3 linked regions of the Drosophila melanogaster genome follow. The protein of the gene in region 2 interacts with the protein of the main gene of each other region in a pairwise test. Each region holds a gene or a part of one and is shown on either strand. Other genes may lie near its edges.

Region 1 (6,583 bases), on a different chromosome or scaffold from region 2:
GGGTGCACGTATAGATGTCCTTGGTGCAGCCCTCGCGGCAGGACGACCACGAACAGTTCTTGGCCCCGTAGTAGATCTCCGTGTCGTACGTTTCGCAGAGCGCCGGAACCTCCTCGAACTGCATGAAGATCGTGGTGAAGGCGGGCTCGATGACGAAGGGCACCAGGAAGAGGAAGGCGAACAGGCTGAAGGTGCCCAGCAGGATGAAGAAGGCGGTGGTGTAGAAGAGCAGCTTCTCCTTGCCGGTGCGTTTGTCCTGCTCGTCTCCCATGTTTTAGCTCGATTTTGGTCGGGTTTGAGGTCTACTATATATTATGGTATTATTTAATTTTATTAATATTATTAGTTTTTAGGCGCAGGTCTGGCGGTGGCGGCGGCGGAGCAGAGCGGCGATAAGTGCGATAACTTAGCTTACAATTGCGGCGATTACTGATCGATAACGATAACTAATAGCTAGATTACGATTACGGTGCAAGTTATATCACAGGGAGAGTTCGATTTCTCGTTTCGTTTGCTTTTGCTGTTGCTTCTGCTTTTGCTTCTTTCGCTTTGGTTGCCTGGCTGTCCGGTGTCCCGTTATCTCGCACATAGCTGACCTTTGCAGGGAGGGTCCTGCATCTTTGTGCTCCAGTTCAACGGCATCGCTTCACTCGATTAGGCTAAATACTCCACGGAGTCCGAGTGCGAGTCCCACGTATCCCGCATTCTTAATCCCCTCCAGCTTCCTCCGCCTCCTGGCAGTGTGGTGGCAACAATCGTGAACCTTTGCTAATTGCTTTATTCGTCCCAATGGAGATGTTTCGTCAACATCAGCACGTTGCAGTCGTCTTGCTTTTGCCTGATTTAGCTGCTTCTTGATTATTTTATGACTGCGGCAAAGCACTGGATGTTCGTGCGTGTGTGTCGTGTGTGGCCTGTGTGTCCTGTATGCTTGGTGTGCCTGTGTATGTGTTTGGCCTGCCAATGGCCAGTTTTGAGGTCTCTCTCTTACTCTCTGTTTTTCTTCACTTTACATTTACATTCTTTCGAAATGTGTGTAGAAAAACGAATGCTGGACGGACAGTTTTGTTTGTCTTTTTCACTTTTTTGCTTTGGTTGGCTATTCCTAGCACTCTTCCTCTCTCTCCAGCATGCTCTTTCCTTCTCTTCTTCTCCTTTCTATCCTTGCCACGTGCAGTTCACAAAGGCTGTAAGAGAGTGTGAGTGCGTTTTAAAATACCGTTAGGCCGCGCTTTGCCGTTAATTCGTGTATATTTTTAAAGCACACAAAGGTGACGACGGCTATATTTATGTAACCCCGAGTGTTACGAAACGGAAACACGCGGCACGGCACCAATGAGCTCAACTCGCACTCGTCGTGTTTAAATAATAAAACTCCTTCGATGCATTTGCGGGGTAACGAGGGGGTCAGAGGGGCGGAAGGGGAATGGGGGAGACAGAGTGGAGCCACATGTAATTTTCAATTCATTTGGCACGCTTTCACTCACACACATACCAACTCACACGAACTGGAAACAGACTGTGCACATGCAAGTAGGCTCTCCCCCTCCCACTTACCCACACACACACACATTGACACACAGAGTCTTAGGAAGGGGAGGGGGGCTGTAAAAGAGAAAGAGAGGGGCAGAGTGCCAGCTCCAATCGAAATTATGCGGCAAAGGACCTCCCAAAGGAGTGAGTGAGTGGGCAAGAGCAGAGCCAACTTCTTGTGCCTAGCACGAAACGATTTTTTAGGAGGCACCATATAAAAAGATTTATAAGAACCACCTTGCTGGGAACCTGCCCCCACCTTCTCTTGGAGATCAATTAAATGTAGTTGAGTTACAATTTTCAGGTATTTCGGTTGGGGCCTCTCCACTTCTAAGCCTCCCTCCCCCCACACCTCTTTCCAGTTCTTGTGACGTAGAGTTGCGTGCTCCCGTTTGTGAGCTGGTATGTGTTTGTAAGTGTCCGAGTTGCGCTTGTGTGTGTTTACTCAAGGTTCAGGTTACGCGGTGAACACGATGACAACGGAACGAGGATTACGCATTTTCAATCACAAATCACCAGCACACATTTGCTGTTCTTTGGGCTACCACTGTTTACCATGGAACAATGGTGACCTGATTGCGCACGGGGTCAAAAGTTGCTAACGCTGAACAATTGTCACATTCACGCTCCACATTTTCTTTCGTGGCATTTTCGGTTCCTCTTGCCTTTCTTTAGTGGCAACAATACAGAGACAGACAAACCAACGACAACTACGACGGCGAACGACAACGACGACGGCGACAACCAAAAAAGGAGCACGGCGACAACACGACGGCTGAACTCTTCAGCGAAAGGACTGCCTGCCACTGGCAACGCTGCAGCGGAATTAAGGGCCCACGTCTAAGTGGAGCTTCGGAGCGGAGCTTTCTCCTGCACTGCCAACAAGCTCCAGTCCAGCGTTGCCCATTTGGCTAATAACTTGCTAGATAACTAGCTTTGATAACGGTTAGCTTTCACGTTTAAAAGGACAATTCTTATTGCATACGGAAAAGGAGTAAGGTTAATTTTCTACAACTCCGTAAGAAATGGCCAAAAATCATGAAAAAAATGAAAATAGTATAAACCGTAAATGAACATTTGGCAATAAGTGCTTAAGAACTTTTAGCTAAAATAATAACTTTTGTTGGACTTTTCACTTCTCAGCATCACTGGCTAAAGCTCTCTCTCCCTTCCTTTCTCCAGCTGGGAGCAACAGCGGCCAGCGATGACGTAAAGCCAGTCGGCGCAGGCGCCCGGCGATCCCCGCCAGAAAGAGAGGGCTCCGATGGGCGAAAGCTGAGCCACTCAGAAGTGGCATAAACAGCAGGGAAACGTAACGAGTTCTCCTGTTTGGAATTTTCTCGGCTCGCCCAGCCACGGGGAAATGGTGGAAAAGTGCAGAAACGCAGCAATTGTGGCACTTGCTTAGCTAAGGATCAAAAAGAAGGTCCAATAAACCGTAGAGTTCCGTCAAAGAGTGAGCCATGTGCGGGTTATGAAACGATTTTGATGGCACACTGTGTGCAACTGTGACTGTGACTGCGATTGCTGCAAGTGTATTGGTGTGGTTAACCAGCCCCCACGACCACCAACCCCTTTCCCCACGTGTGTGCGTGCCCCAGTAGCAGGAACGTAAATAAACCTCAACACTCGGAGCTAAAACATCCTTAATTTACATGTGAGTACTGACCGAGAAATTCAAAATGGTAATCGAATGTAGGATCCTTCGATGACCCTCAAAATCATTGCCTACTTATAAGCGCACTTTCCATTGATTGGCATGCAACTAGAATTTCTCCCTGCGGCCATTGATTATTCCATTTGGTCCGTGATAAAACCAAAGCGGAGCATGTTCAGTGGTTTTGTTAGTAGAAGAGCCATTGCAGCCAATCTTGTGATACTATGTAACCACCATGCCACGAATCCTATATGTGTAATTCAATCCAATCCCCCAAACACTTATGAAATGCGTCATTCTTAGATCCCGTCATTCACTATTAGCCATAAATATTTAATAGGCTTGTGGTGGAATCACCAAACCTAGGTATGGATTTACCTAGATATAGATTTATGGTAAATTAAATCTAAAAACAACTAGATATAGTCGTGAATATTAGAAAAGGTCAGCCCATAACCATTACATATTTTAAAAATAGCTAGACAATTACATTTTTTTTAAATAGACGGATATATAGATATCCTTAGATAAGCGTTGAGACTTAAAAAATGTATAATTAAAGTGGATTTATAAAATTTACCTAAGCCCTGTAATTTTATTAAATAGCGAAAATTATTTAAATTATTTTGAAATGATTTTTCTATGTATTTCTATGATTTATGTCAAATTCGAGATCCATTAAAAACAGTTTGTTAACAATAATTAATTCAAGTAATAAAATTAAGCCGCGAAACCAACTGTTGACCAGTGTTGAAAGTGATTCAGTGTGTTAGTGTTGGGCAACAGGCGCCGTGTGAGGATTTTGGTGAGACGCGTTAGTAGATTTCCGCCAACACAGATGATTGATTAAAAAAGAATTTAATTTGACGTAAATAAAGGAAAGTGGAGAAAATAAGCAACAATCATGGAAGTTTTCCTAACAATCGTCTTCTTCACCATCTTCTGGGCGGCGGTGGCCAAGTACGGACCCATTCTGTTCACCAAGCAACCGCACGATGACCTGGTGCGCTGCATTTTCCTTCTGACCGCCGTCGTCTGCTGGCTTTTCTGGCTGTGCTGCTATTTGGCGCAACTGAATCCACTGCTGGGGCCGAAACTCAATGGAAACACCATTCGGATCATTGCCTCGTCCTGGGGAAATCCCATCAAGGAGGGATAAGGAAAGCCCACATAGGAATCTCCCACCTAGCTAATCTTTGGCGGTTGCTTCTTCCGCGTATTTCCGGATCTTAAGCCACATCACACACAGTCGGTGAAACCACGGAAGCAGTGGCTTCGCCAAACCCTTTTTGTACTTCAATACTGGCAGCAAGTGGACAAGGTTGGGCTACGGCTATCCAAGCCCCAGATACGCCCCACTATTTCCAAACTAACCACATTAACCTCTGGACGTAAACTTTCACTGTACATTTTGTTGTTGCTTATAGCTCAATATCTCTGATCACCATATTCTTTATGTTTACTGCAAAACATAAGCCATGTATTCCACCCAAAAATCCAATTATTGCAATTTAATTCTCAACAAACTTGCCACATGAGCGATTTTTGTAGTCAGATTATTATTTACCTATTTTTCCGTAGTGTAGATAATTTACTAATCAGTCATTGTATTTGTGATTTAGCTATTGGCAAATATAGAACAATTTTTTCGTATTATTTTCCTATTCGTGTTTATTTATTATTAGTTTTTAGTATTTACATTGAAAACCAAAAATGTCTAGCAATGTATATTTATAAGTTTACGCCCCATTTAGCTTTTCCCGAAATCTATAGTTCATATATTAGCTTAAATATTATGTTTCTCTTAATTTATATTTGTTTTTCAGAATTCTTTTTTCCCATTATATAGTTTAGTTTGTTTAGTATGAAAATGTTTCATTTCGGAAGTGCAATTTATGTTATTTTTAGAACAATGCATCCGAATAGGGTTATTGTATTTTCGCCTTAATGTGGAAGGGGGCGTGCCCGGTGGTTGACCATAACTGGAGCAAAAACACAAAGTCCCCGCACATGGCGCACTCGGTGCACTTGCACTCTTGGCCATGTGGAGGCCGACTTAATCAATGGAAACGCTGGCAGGGAATGGGAATGGCCCGAGCGGAGCCAACTTGGCGGTTGTGGGCAGGGAAACGAGAGAGCGGGGTATTCGAGGAGCAGCAGGGGAGCGGGGTGTCCTGCTCTTTTCAGCAATATGTGAATGCGGAACTATTGATTTTGCAATAAAAGTGCGCGCGCAGAGCCGAGATTTATGCCAAAAGCGGAGAGTAGCGAATTCCACGAGACCCGCCACGATGTGTGCCATGTTGTCGGCGGTCAGTGAGGAGAAGCCGGAGAGCTGGAGCACTACTAGAGAGCTGTGAAATCCGGAGACCCAGAGCCGAGCCGAATGCAGTCGCCAGTGCGGAGCAGAAAGCCTTGGGTCACGAGCCACCAGCTGCCAGTAACTCGAAGGGAAAAAATAATTACCACAGAACAGCACTGCTCGAGAATTAAGAAATAATTGTACATAAATTATAAATCCCAATAATAGCCAGATAATTGTAAAAAGAAGCGGAATTCCTGGAACTGTGTGAATTCTATCTCCAAATCGACAGGAAAATCAACTGGCACGTGATGCAACCAACGCGTATGGATGGGCCCAGTGATTAAAGTGAATTTCTGTGGGGTCAGCTAGCCAAAAATCGATAGGTTTGTGGCCTATCCAAGGAACGTGTCCTCCAGCTGGAAACGTGCGCAGCCTGCAGAGTAACCAGTTTTCCCTTTTTTTGTGGACCCATTGAAAAGTCGGTGGAAAATCTCAACCTACGCAGGGTTATATAACCGCACAACATACAAAACCGCCCACGCAGCTTTGCAGCTAAATCGATAGACTAAAAACCGACATGACGAGCTTCTAATTGGATTGGATTGCACGCGAGGGATTAACCAGCACAGGGATTAACCAGAGGAGGCACCAGTGACCACCACCCACTTGCTACTTGGAATTACAGGGTAGTCGCGCGTTAAAAAATGGGCAAGAAAAAGGTGCCCGTTGAGGACCTGGTGGTTCCACCGCAGGACACGCGAATATGCGGCACCATATGCATCTGCCAGATGACCCTGGTGCTCAGCTCGGTGGCTCTCGTCTACCTCACGGTGGCCATATATATGCCCTCAACCAGGGCCTTCAAAAGTGGCATCGATCCCACGCCGGTGATGTGCACCACCACGCGGGCGGTGAACAAGGACAACTGCGAGTGGGGCAGTTGTGGCGAGTGGTGTCTGAGCAAGACTTCCGGAGCCTGCATCCAGATCTATGTGAATCTGCGCAGCAATGGCAGCAATCTCATATTCCAGAACTGCACCAACTCGGCCAATAAAACGTGCTACGGGATCGACCAGGATCGCGCGGAC
Region 2 (5,157 bases):
AGTGTGGAAATTTTTTTTTTCAGGATGAAGTTATATTAAAGATTTTTAAATAATTTTTTGACTTTTGGCTTCGATGTGTGGGATAAAAGTGAGGCTGTCCTCAATAACCATGTTCTTTTAGCATGTTTTATAAATTACCTGTTCGCATCACTGGTTGACACGGTCCCTATGGTTGAGTCCGGCACTTGTGAAACTAATTGCCGTAGATTCCGACCAAATCCGTCCGGCATCTTGGCCACAATATGTTGGACAAATGGACAATTTTATGAATTAATTTGATGTCTCGGCTGATTCGCTTCTCGTTATTCGGAGACACAAGGAACAGCCGCAAAAAAAAACTTTTTGCATAATGGAGCGGAGAAAATGGGTTTTTGAACCGAAATGTACGGAATTTCACAGATGTCACATGTGCAGAACAAAGGTTCGAGACAAAGAATTCATTGCAGCTGAATGATTAATTTGAGCTCATGGAGCACATTGCTTTGATGATTATAACGACCATGTTGATGTCAAGTTAATCATTGACCTAACTTTTTATGTCCACCTTGGGCAATCTATTTTCATGACTTATAATGAATAATAAGCTTACCATAAAAGGACGATGTTTTTGTTTAATTAATTGGTGAATATAAACCAAGGAATTTTAACCCTTAAGAGTATTATACACTTAAACCACATTTTAAATTTAACTAACTTTATGCATTAAATTTAAACACTGGCAATGAAAAACCAGTCGCAGACAAACAGCATTTTATTTCAAAACAATTTCGAGACCTTTTATACAAATACTATGCATGTTTTGGACTCACAGAAGCCCGCACTGTTTTACATCCACAACCGGCAAAAAAAAACATTGCCCTTGGACTGCATTTTAATGTCCAACTTGTGGTTCAGTAAACAACTAAAACTCTCGTCTGTGAAAATAGCCCCTCTGGAGGCCATTATCCTGCTGCTGCTGCCACTGCTGGTGGAAAACTATTTTTAAAGAGTTAAAAGCGATTCAACGGAAATGGAATTTATAAAATTAACATAAGTTGAACCCAAACTGAAAATACAACTTTGAGTGGCCCTAGGAGAGGATATGGATGATTTCAGAATTATTGAAGTGAACAAACGAAGGCAAATCCAAAAATATCCTTGCACTGCAAAGGGCTAAGATGGAAAAATTCATAAAAATATGGCTGGGCCCGGGTATTATTTATTTTCATTTCTGCCGCGGGTCCTTTCCGTTTCCCTTTGTCCGGCTGTCTGTGTAATCGGCTAGAAGGACTTAGATAAAACACGAAATGGCCACAAAAAGGATCTTGTCGCTAAGAGCAACTACACCCATACACACTTCATGAATACACATGCAAACATCCTTCTGGATGAGAGTTCGATAACCGGATTCCGAACTGAACCCGGCGGCCTAAAGGCTTGCCAATGTTGGTCAAAACAACTGCACACGTCAGCAAATAAGAATAAATTTGTAAAAAATTACGGAACTATAAAAGCATGACGGAACTGTATAAGCCTGCTGCTATTAGTTAACCAGTTAAAACTAACAATAATAAAGCCACCTAATAAGCTACAATATATATGTATATATAGGAATTTGGGCAATATTACATTTCTTAAGACTATATTAGAGATGATGATACACTTCCAACAATTTTATATTATACATGGTCCACCAAAAACTGCCCAAATCGCACCATAGTTGAGAGTGGGTGAATCATATAGACGAACAGCATGGCCAGAACGGTGGCCTGCAGGACATATTCGGTGCGATCCGTATGCTCGAATCTTCGCTGGTGGATAACGGTGATGGTGAAGAGGATGAGACTAGCCACGTAGATCAGACTGACCATCGAGACGTATCGCATTATATAGCGATTGCCGTTTAGATACACAATCAAGTAGATCGAAACGACAATCGCTATGCAACAGAATGTGAGGACGATCATGAAGATGCTACCGGGCAGTATTTTCAGCGGCAGATAGACGCCCATCAAGTAGAGCATGACGTTCAGGGCCAGCACGAGTGACAGGACACCAGTCATCCAGAGCATCGATAGACGAGCCCACCGGTGGCAATTCACAAATATCACTATCACCTCCACGATGACAATGGCCAGCAGACCATTGCACGGACACTGGTTGGCCAGGTACACGTAGGCCATGATCAGCACACATCCCACGGCCAGGAGCAGCCACACGAAGCTGGGCACCGATGGGCTAATTAGCTCCCCGAAGTCCTTATTGCAGAGCCGCAGGACCACAAGCTGAATTACTGCACTTGCCGATAGAACCGCGTGGATCAAGTAGACCCAACCGAGGTGTTTCTTCCTCAGGTGCACAGAAGAGCGTTGGCGCAAAGGACCCGACGATGCGACCGGGCTCAGCAGGCCCGGGGATTCTCCATATGGTTTCGCAGGCTCATGCGGTGGTGGAGCAGGAGCGGGAACATGAGGTGGTGGCCTGGGTGGAGGTGTTGATCTTTGACCAGTCGGTTTGCGTAGACCCGTCGATGAACGTGGCGTGGGATTTGGCCTGCTCATCTTTCTGCGCGTTGATACCACCACCCCCGTTGTGGGAACCTGCTGGGTGCTATGAACATGTATATTAAATATGAATATATTTGATTAACAAGGCGGTGGGTGTACTGTGGGCAAAAAGTGTTATGTTACAATTTAGATCTACTGAAATAAACGATTGGAATTTTTCTACTGAAACTAATACAGTTAAATGATTGATACTTTTTAGTGTTGATATGTGATGGAATAACGAATCGATTGGATGTATAATTCTGTTAATGAAACCACTGCGCAGTATATGCATACTCATGCATATTAAATGGGAATTATGCTGGCCAGAACTGAAGTGCTAATCAATGACACGTGCTGCGTTGTCACTAGACTCATTAAGATGGCCCACCTTGCACCTGATGATGTGTTTACATATGTATTCAGCTCTGGCGAACTGTGTGCGCTGAGGGCCAACTTTTTGGGCCATTTTGTGGCTGAGGCTTTTACTGAATTTTAATTAGACTCTGCCGCTGAAAAGCCAGCACGTGCAGAAACATTGGCAAACACAGCCTAAAGCCAAACAACAAAGTCAGGAATTAAATAAACATGAGTCGGGCAAAAAACTTGCCTGGAGGAGAGGAAACCAAGTGGTGTCTTATTACCTAGCTTTCTTTAGAATATGTTATTGAGTCAGAGATTATCGCGCTTTGTTCGCCTGCTCTCTAATCCTCAATAATCGATGACAATATGCGTATTTATCTAAAACCGTGCTTACACAAATGTCAGCATCAGGAAATTTGGGCATTCTCGATATTATTACCCCAGTTTGCTGTCATAATAAGCTTTGGCATTAAAAATCCTACAAATGCCTATCAATCGGCCTGCCACTCAGAGCAACAATAACTTTTAAGAGATTTAAACTGACAGTGCCAATAGCCAGGAAAACCACAACACGAACAAATGGCAAATTACGGCAAAGTGCCGTAAGGAAGTCATAGTAAATCCAATTAGAAGGACAATCGGATTTTATTGACGCTCGAATGAGTTGAATTTAGCTGTGAACTGTACAACAGATTTATTGAAGCGGAAGAATTGAATTTATCCTTAGGCAAATACATTTAAGAATACATATGTGACAGCTATATAAATTAGTATCAATACGTACATTTCCCATTTCGATCTATTAATTTATGTTTTATTTATGCTTTCATTGAAAAACCAACCTTGTTAATGCCGCAGAAAATTGATGTAAAATGTAAATGTAATTTACTTATCCAACCAATTAAAACGTCCATCTGAGGTTGTCATGACAATGGCTCGAAATATGAAGTGCCATCAATAATGTCTGTTTGATTGATTGAACTGGCAGATCCTTGTGCATTTGAGCAACAATAATACTTAATAGATACTTGCATTCTATTAATAAGCACTAAGCATTCCCCCTATCTAATCAGGGGTGTCAGCTTACATTTGTCAAATCTTTAGCCTTGAAAGTTAATAATAGGGCTACGTATTAAGTATTCATGGGAAGGAAATTATTAGAGACATGTGAGCCGGGCAAGTGTGCTCAAAGAGGGTTAATTATTTAAAATCGTATTTCTAAATAAAGCAGGACATTTGCGGTAAATATAGAAACGAATGTTTAAGCCCTGTAAAGCACTTACCTACGGCAAAAATTTTAAATTTAAAACACCATTCGGTGGGGGAAGACATTAAATATGCCTTATGTGGCACGTACCTACATCAAAATCATACCGTGGCCCTCCAACCGTGCGACATGCAATTGAACAAATAAATCAGAGGGCTAATAAATATTTAGCAACGATGGTAGGAGCTGCCTAAGGCCGAGGCAAAAACCAAGACTTCCATAAATGCCGCCGACTGAGCCATTCAAGAAGCCAGATGAACGGAGCGAAGGACAAAGCACGATTTCAGGCGACAAAGCAGGGAGTTACATCTGGATGAGTTTCTGTAGCTGTTGCTATTGCCGGTTTTCCAGCTCTTTCAGATTTTCACGCCTCTCCTGTTCTTCCCTTCCCTTTTCGTGACTTTCTGGCTTAAATGCTGTTGCCTTCTGCACCACATTGCGTATACGTGATGTGCCACGACACGGGCTTCCACATTTAACAATATGATTAAAGGCAACTTTTAGCACCTGTTCTGGCTGTTGATTTCGTATCGAGTATTAATTGCAATTTATTTTGTATGCCAACACTCGAGACGACTCGCATGCAATTAAATTATTTACGCATGGGGGGCATGGCGCATTTAAATGCTTATTTATGCATATGTAACTGAAATTGTGTACTTAACGCATGTTAATCGCAAACGTTTGTTTAAGCAGTTATCCTTCGAAATTACTGTATAAGAACGGGAGTAAGGTGCATAGGAATCCGCCCCTTTAAATTTTTACATAATTAATAGACAATAAATTACTTTTAAACAAATGATGATGCAATATGAATGACATCATAGCTATAATTAATATATAAATTTCCTATGTAATGAATTTTTTCTCAAAGGAATAGCGAAACTCATTGTATTTTCACTTCTTCATTATGATTTTTTCAGTTTTCGTTTCCCTCTTAAGGTTTTCTTTAACTACGTCCAACATATTTTTTTTTTGTCCATATTAAGCCCTTTCCGAAGA
Region 3 (5,948 bases), on a different chromosome or scaffold from region 2:
CATAAACAAAAACGGAGAACAATCAATAATTATTTTAAGATTCCATTCCATTTTCAATACCAACGAAATTCTTTGCTCACCTCCACCTAAAAACTGCACGTACACAAAATTTTTGCACACTTTTCTAGTCAATTTTTATGTTTTACAAAAATAACATGGTGTGTCTCCTCCCATTTCCCTCTGGACGAACACTCATCTGCCTTTGAGTGTCTGCAAATTCCGATGGCTTATTGATCGTTGCACTACTCAAACGAATTGTTACATTTAAATAAAAGAACTACAACGAATTGAGGGGAAGGGACAGGAGTGATCACAGATTGCAGAATGTAATGGGTAACACTCCACAACTATTTCATTGAGGAGCTGGTACTCCACAATTCCCGAACCCAAATCCCATACCCTAAAAATTATATTATAACCATCCAATATAACCCAGGTAACCTGCAATCAGTGAAAGGTGCAGCAGTGAAAAGCAAACTAAATATGAATAGGTTTTAAACAAACTCTGTGTGTTGTTGTTACTATGATTCAATGTATATGTGTACGCACGCAGCATTATATAAACGAACTACATTATATACCCAACTACAAAACAAGTTGAACAAGTTGATCCATGCAATGCAAATCTGTTTGTTATTTGTTTCTGACTGTGAATCGTGTTGAAACAATAAGTTTTACTATATTTGGTTGACTAATGCTTACACGCTGATGATATGAATTGTTGATAGACTTTAAGACGCGGAAAGATGGACGACGATTGTTTGTGGCATTGACGCGGCAGTGGTCCTCGCTGGGATCGTAGAGATTCCGCCGGACAACGCCAGCATGGACAGTATTGGTGAAGCAAAAACAAACACAATCTTTTGTACATAAATTGTTTTCTATCTGAATTGTTCTCAATGTGTAGTTTATATACAATATCTTGATAAATATCCATATATTTATATTTGAATGTTATTTATGTGTAGCCCAGAAGTGTTATGAATATAATCCGCAGCTAAACCCATTAAGATAATAAGCAAAGATGTTATCTGTTTGCCTACATAAAATAATTTATGCTATAAACTGGAAATAAATGTAAAACTAGAATTGTTTGACGATCAAGAAATCAATGGACTAGATATTGAAACAGAAATTGTGTGTATCGATTTGAAAGTGTTATTTTAATTTATTTTATGAATATTTTGTAATTAATGATCCTAATTGCAATACACACATACACATACTTACATACACACGCTAGTAGAGTAGGAAACGAGTAAATTTTATTCAATAAATTATATTAAATCAAACAAGTATAATTATATAAATATATATGTATGTTAAATCATTTTAGTGGATGTATAAAAACAATGGAAAGAAAATCAAATAAAATAAAAATTAAAAAATATTTGCTTCTATTTCATTCTTCTAGGGGCTTTAAGTTAAATTTATTACATATTCAGTAGGCTTTTTATAACTTAAGCCATTTGCCTTAGAAAATTAAGAATATAAGGATAAACTTTGGGTCGTTCTTGTTCTGCGCCCTTTGCATGAGTATAAGAAGTCATGTTAGTTAGTCGACCAAGAAAACAACAATCTTTTATACAATACTGGAGTATATTACTTTTAATAGGAAACATTGAAATACGACCGCCGCCGTTCCACGCGACTCATCTTCCTTAGGTCGCCAGTAGGACAAGCAGTCCGAGTATCGAAAGGGCAATGACCAAGGGTAGTGTGGATAATCCAGCGGCTGCGTTGCACAAATCCGTATCGCACAGTGTGCAGCCGAGGAAGTTCATAAAGGGCACCACAGGATCTGGTCCATCGTCGCAACTGACGCCTATTGGGGAGGCATCGCCAAAGTAACAGGAGCGCCTCACGAAGCGCGTGTCTCCTGGCACTGCGAAAAGTGAGTCATTTTATAAGGGATTTCCTTGACATATTTTCCAGAAACCATACTCGTATACTCACTTCCCTCATGGTACTTGGTAAGGCAAGTGGCCTCCGCTCCCAGGGATCGCATGTTCGCCACCACATCGCAATCCGTCGTGGATATGTCATCGCCCACAAATCGCTCCCCACACCCTGGATTATTGACGGAATCACATTCGTAGCAGGTAATGGCACGGGCTGATGACGACATCCGTAAAAATGTGTGTCCACGAGAGTGCACAGAAAGGAAAACAATGGATGAGCATTTTGGTAGACCTTATCTTTATCTTAAAGTAAACAATTAGCTTTAAAACCATTCTTAATGTTCCAAAACGTTAATTTCTTTTCAGATGTAAGTTAATTAAAATTTGTAATATAATTCTTGAACTTTTTAGACTCTATACGTAAACAATGAAATAAACAAAGAAAGCTGTTTATATGTTTTTCTTTACTGAACAGTTTCCCGCAAAACAGTCGGTAAAACCCTAAATTCACTGATTCGCAATAAATCGTGTTGACAGTCTTCTGCTTCTGAGATATTTCAAAATATGAACTACAATTTCGGGGCAGGAATGTGATGAGTGGCGGGCGCGAATCGAGAATCTCACCTGAGCTGGCCAGCGTGACGAGCAGAAAGAGCGAGGCAAGCGCTGCCATCATCGCCATCGTACCGCCCCCGAAAACAGTTGATTCCACTGTCGTCCGGCGGTCGCGGTGAGTCAGTATGGCTATAGCTATAGCTTGGCGATGCCGATACGTGCGCGAATACAGATGTTGTCTTCTCGGTTGCCGGACCGATTTTAATCACATGATAGATGCGCTATATAGCCACAAGCCGCCGACCAACGACCACCGACCACCGACCACCGACCACCGACTCGAAGCGATGCACACACGCGACTGAACTAAACAGAAACTGAACTGAACGTGCGAACAATCGCATTCAGAATGTGAATTTGATTTTCATAACAGATTTTTTCACATTTTCACTTCTCCATCGTTGGCTTTTCCCTGGCCAATGCGTGTTGACATCGTGCTCTGCCTTGCCCTACCCTGCCCTGCCATTCCCTTTGCCCTTTCCTCGCCAATCCATTTATTTCAGGCAAGGTTCATTAGTGGCATTTGAACAAATAAACAATTTGGCATTCTGTGTAAAATTAGTTTTTATTAGTTTGTATTTGGATCGTTCGAAATTTGTTTGCCAGCTTTTCGGCTCATTTCGGTGTGCTGATGTTGCTCATACGCCATGTTCGGCGTTGATTAGCCATTAATACAGTGGGCCGGGCAGATTTGGCTAAACGGTTTTGTGGATGGTGTGCTCTACTAATGTGGGCTTTACTAATTGATAGTCCTGGGCCTTGGGAATACATCTAAATTGAACTAGGTTTACTTAAGCTACTGTGCCTTTTAATGTTCATTTCACGCTCCACATTTCCACATTTCCACTTCGTCTCCTGTCGCCTCAGAGTAGTTGAGTTGCCAAGAGAAACAAGACCAGACTGCCGAAGATTTTCCATTTATCCACTGGATGATTTTCCGATCCGTTGCAGTAGTTCTCGCTGTCGCACACATGACAACTTGAGTTCTGCACCGCCGACAGGGTGGGGTCCATTTTGCACCACACATCGGTGGCATTTACCTCGCCGAAGTAGCAGCCTCTGACGATCTTACGCACGCCGTTTTCTGCAGAGGCAAAACATTGGGTTAGTCTACTTTCGGGCTGACTTATCGTAAATAAACACATTTTTTATTGTCCGTCTTTAATGGGCTTATACGAAATGTGTACGTATTGTCCAAAATATCAAGAGATTGTTGGAAAGTCTACGAGATTCTTCTGAAATAAGGTCACAGCTGTCCGTATATGCACGTATGTCTATGAATGTATGTATGACTGTTTCACATAATTAATTTTATTTGTTTTGATTTGCGTCACAAATCATTAAAGAAATTATTATCTGAAGAGTAAATACAAATCTCGGACGGACAACATTGCGAATGTTTAATGAGTATACAGACATTTACCTTTCGGAACACACTTTTTTTGTCCGCTGCTAATCGGACTGTATTTGTAATTAATGAACAATTACTTTAAAAAAATATCTGGTGGATAGATACATTTTTGGTGAATTACGATATATCCACTTTTTAATCTTATATTTCAAACTTTCTTTTCTTTTTACTATACCTATTGATTCATAACTATTAAAGTTACTATCCTAGCAAGGCTTCAAATCCGTAGGAACGTGTTTTGAGAAACATATTCGTTTAAACTCACCCTTGAATACCCGTTTCAAACAGGCCGTGGCATTCACGCTGAGCAGATCGTTCTCCAGGAATCGCGGAGGAGCAATGAAGGCGCAGTCGTATTTAAAATGGTTCTCGACTTCGAAGTCGTCGCCGCAACTAGCCTCGTAGACGGATTCGCAGGCATAGCACTTGATGGCGTAAGCTAGTGGCATTGGGATGGGAAGACCAGAGACGCGTCTTATTTATGGCAGAAATGAGATCAGGCGGGGACAGCCGACAGGTCGCGGCAAACGCAGAACTCGCAAAGCAAAGTACAAATTCGAAAGAAACAAGTCCAAACAGAACAAAAACAAACCTGAGGCCAGTAGCGAGATGAGCGCGCCAAACAAAAGTAAATAATGCTGCATTGTTGATGGGAGGAAAATCGGTTTGCCACCTTTCTCGCTGGTGATTGGAATTTGTTGTATTTGATGGTTTTATGGAAAATAATTCAAGTGGCGGGCTTATTTATAGCTCTGCTCGGCGCAATTGAAACGATCCGCACGAGGTTTGAACATACAAAACTGTATGTTTTGTATAAGCAAATATAGTATATATTTTGAATATAAATAAATGTGTGTTTTCAACTATATAAATGACTTTTATTTTATATTTATTTGGGTCTCAGCACGTAGGAAATAAAAATGTAAACACGCGTTGCCAATTTTCCCTCAGTTTTGTTTTTTGATTTTCCCCGATTTCCCGGCTAAATTCTTGGAGCCGTCTGTCAGTCGACGTCCGCACACGAAATCGAACTAAAAGAATGCCAAAAGCATTTTCCAAATTCAACTCCTTGCCGTTTTTCTCTTTTCCGTTTATCGCTCTCTTTTTTCTGTGGTGAAAACATTTTATGGCCATTTCGCCTGGCGTCATCGCTCAGCGTTTTAATTTGTCTAAATTTAATGAACATTTAGCGGGTGGAGACTTGACGCGCCGAACTTATAGCGACCCTGTGGGAAATGGAAATGGAAAAGGAAAACTGGGAGTGTATGGTCGAAGCGAGTAAAATCACAGAGAGAACTTTTCCGCTTTTCCGTCTGTTCGTATAATCGTCAGCCCAGCATATAGAGAGCCCTGCAGAAGAGACGTAGATTGGATGGGGCCAGTTCTTGAAGTGTGCCAGACACGCATGGATTTTCTGCTTGCCCAACTGGAAGGCTATCAGTTAAAGCTAGCAATTAATCTACGAATAACCATAAAATATCTTCACATAAATAAAGCGACATTTAATGTGGGCGAAAACAGTTTAAAAGGGTGTAACAATTACAAGAGATTCAAAGGTGACTAAAGCAGCTCCATGGGTCTGGCTTCCCAACAGCAAGTTCGATATGTTTGGGATAGCTCAGCGGTACTACAAACTGCTCCTCGTTCAGGCTAGCAGACGGGCCAGGCCAAAGAACAGGAGTATGACTCCGGCGATGGGGGCCAGGGAGGAGGTTCCGTTGCACTCGTCCTCGGTGCAAACCTCGCAGCTCAGCAACTTGTTGATCGTCAGGCTGGGATCGGTCTGGCATCCAACCTTCGTGTCGGCGATGTTGCCAAAGTAGCAGGACCTCACGATTTGCGGGTTACCGGGAACTGCAAGTAAACATTTTAGAAGTTGGTACAAATTATTTGGTTAAGTGTAAATGGAAATGCTTTGTCGGTTGTTATTCTTTTTGATATATTATAAATTCAAATCATATATTCGGCAATTAGATTCAGAAATTACGACATTAAAGCGTGCTGTGTGTTCTAATGTGTTC

The links. The genes of interacting proteins can lie anywhere in the genome.
Region 1: the proteins of CG4073 (region 2) and Teh2 interact in a two-hybrid assay, tested with the Drosophila melanogaster proteins (one large-scale study listed by BioGRID).
Region 3: the proteins of CG4073 (region 2) and CG14401 interact in a two-hybrid assay, tested with the Drosophila melanogaster proteins (one large-scale study listed by BioGRID).

The regions. Positions count from the first base shown.
Region 1 is NT_037436.4:4,184,280-4,190,862, reverse strand, and holds the start of Teh2 (tipE homolog 2), read left to right. Parts: upstream 1-2,839; 5' UTR 2,840-3,190; intron 3,191-3,997; exon of another isoform or gene 3,998-4,094; coding exon of another isoform or gene 4,095-4,349; exon of another isoform or gene 4,350-4,845; intron 4,846-6,199; coding exon of another isoform or gene 6,200-6,583. Other genes in the region: tipE (temperature-induced paralytic E), read right to left, coding at 1-271; VhaM9.7-c (vacuolar H[+] ATPase M9.7 subunit c), read left to right, coding at 4,095-4,349; Teh3 (tipE homolog 3), read left to right, coding at 6,200-6,583.
Region 2 is NT_033777.3:10,712,314-10,717,470, reverse strand, and holds CG4073 (uncharacterized protein), read right to left. Parts: upstream 2,674-5,157; 5' UTR 2,541-2,673; coding exon 1,659-2,540; 3' UTR 1,570-1,658; downstream 1-1,569.
Region 3 is NT_033779.5:20,866,769-20,872,716, reverse strand, and holds CG14401 (uncharacterized protein), read right to left. Parts: upstream 2,864-5,948; 5' UTR 2,584-2,863; coding exon 2,370-2,583; intron 2,116-2,369; coding exon 1,957-2,115; coding exon of another isoform or gene 1,945-1,956; intron 1,886-1,944; coding exon 1,662-1,885; 3' UTR 1,245-1,661; downstream 1-1,244. Other genes in the region: CG31675 (uncharacterized protein), read right to left, coding at 3,380-3,600, 4,193-4,366, 4,520-4,571; CG9338 (uncharacterized protein), read right to left, coding at 5,573-5,781.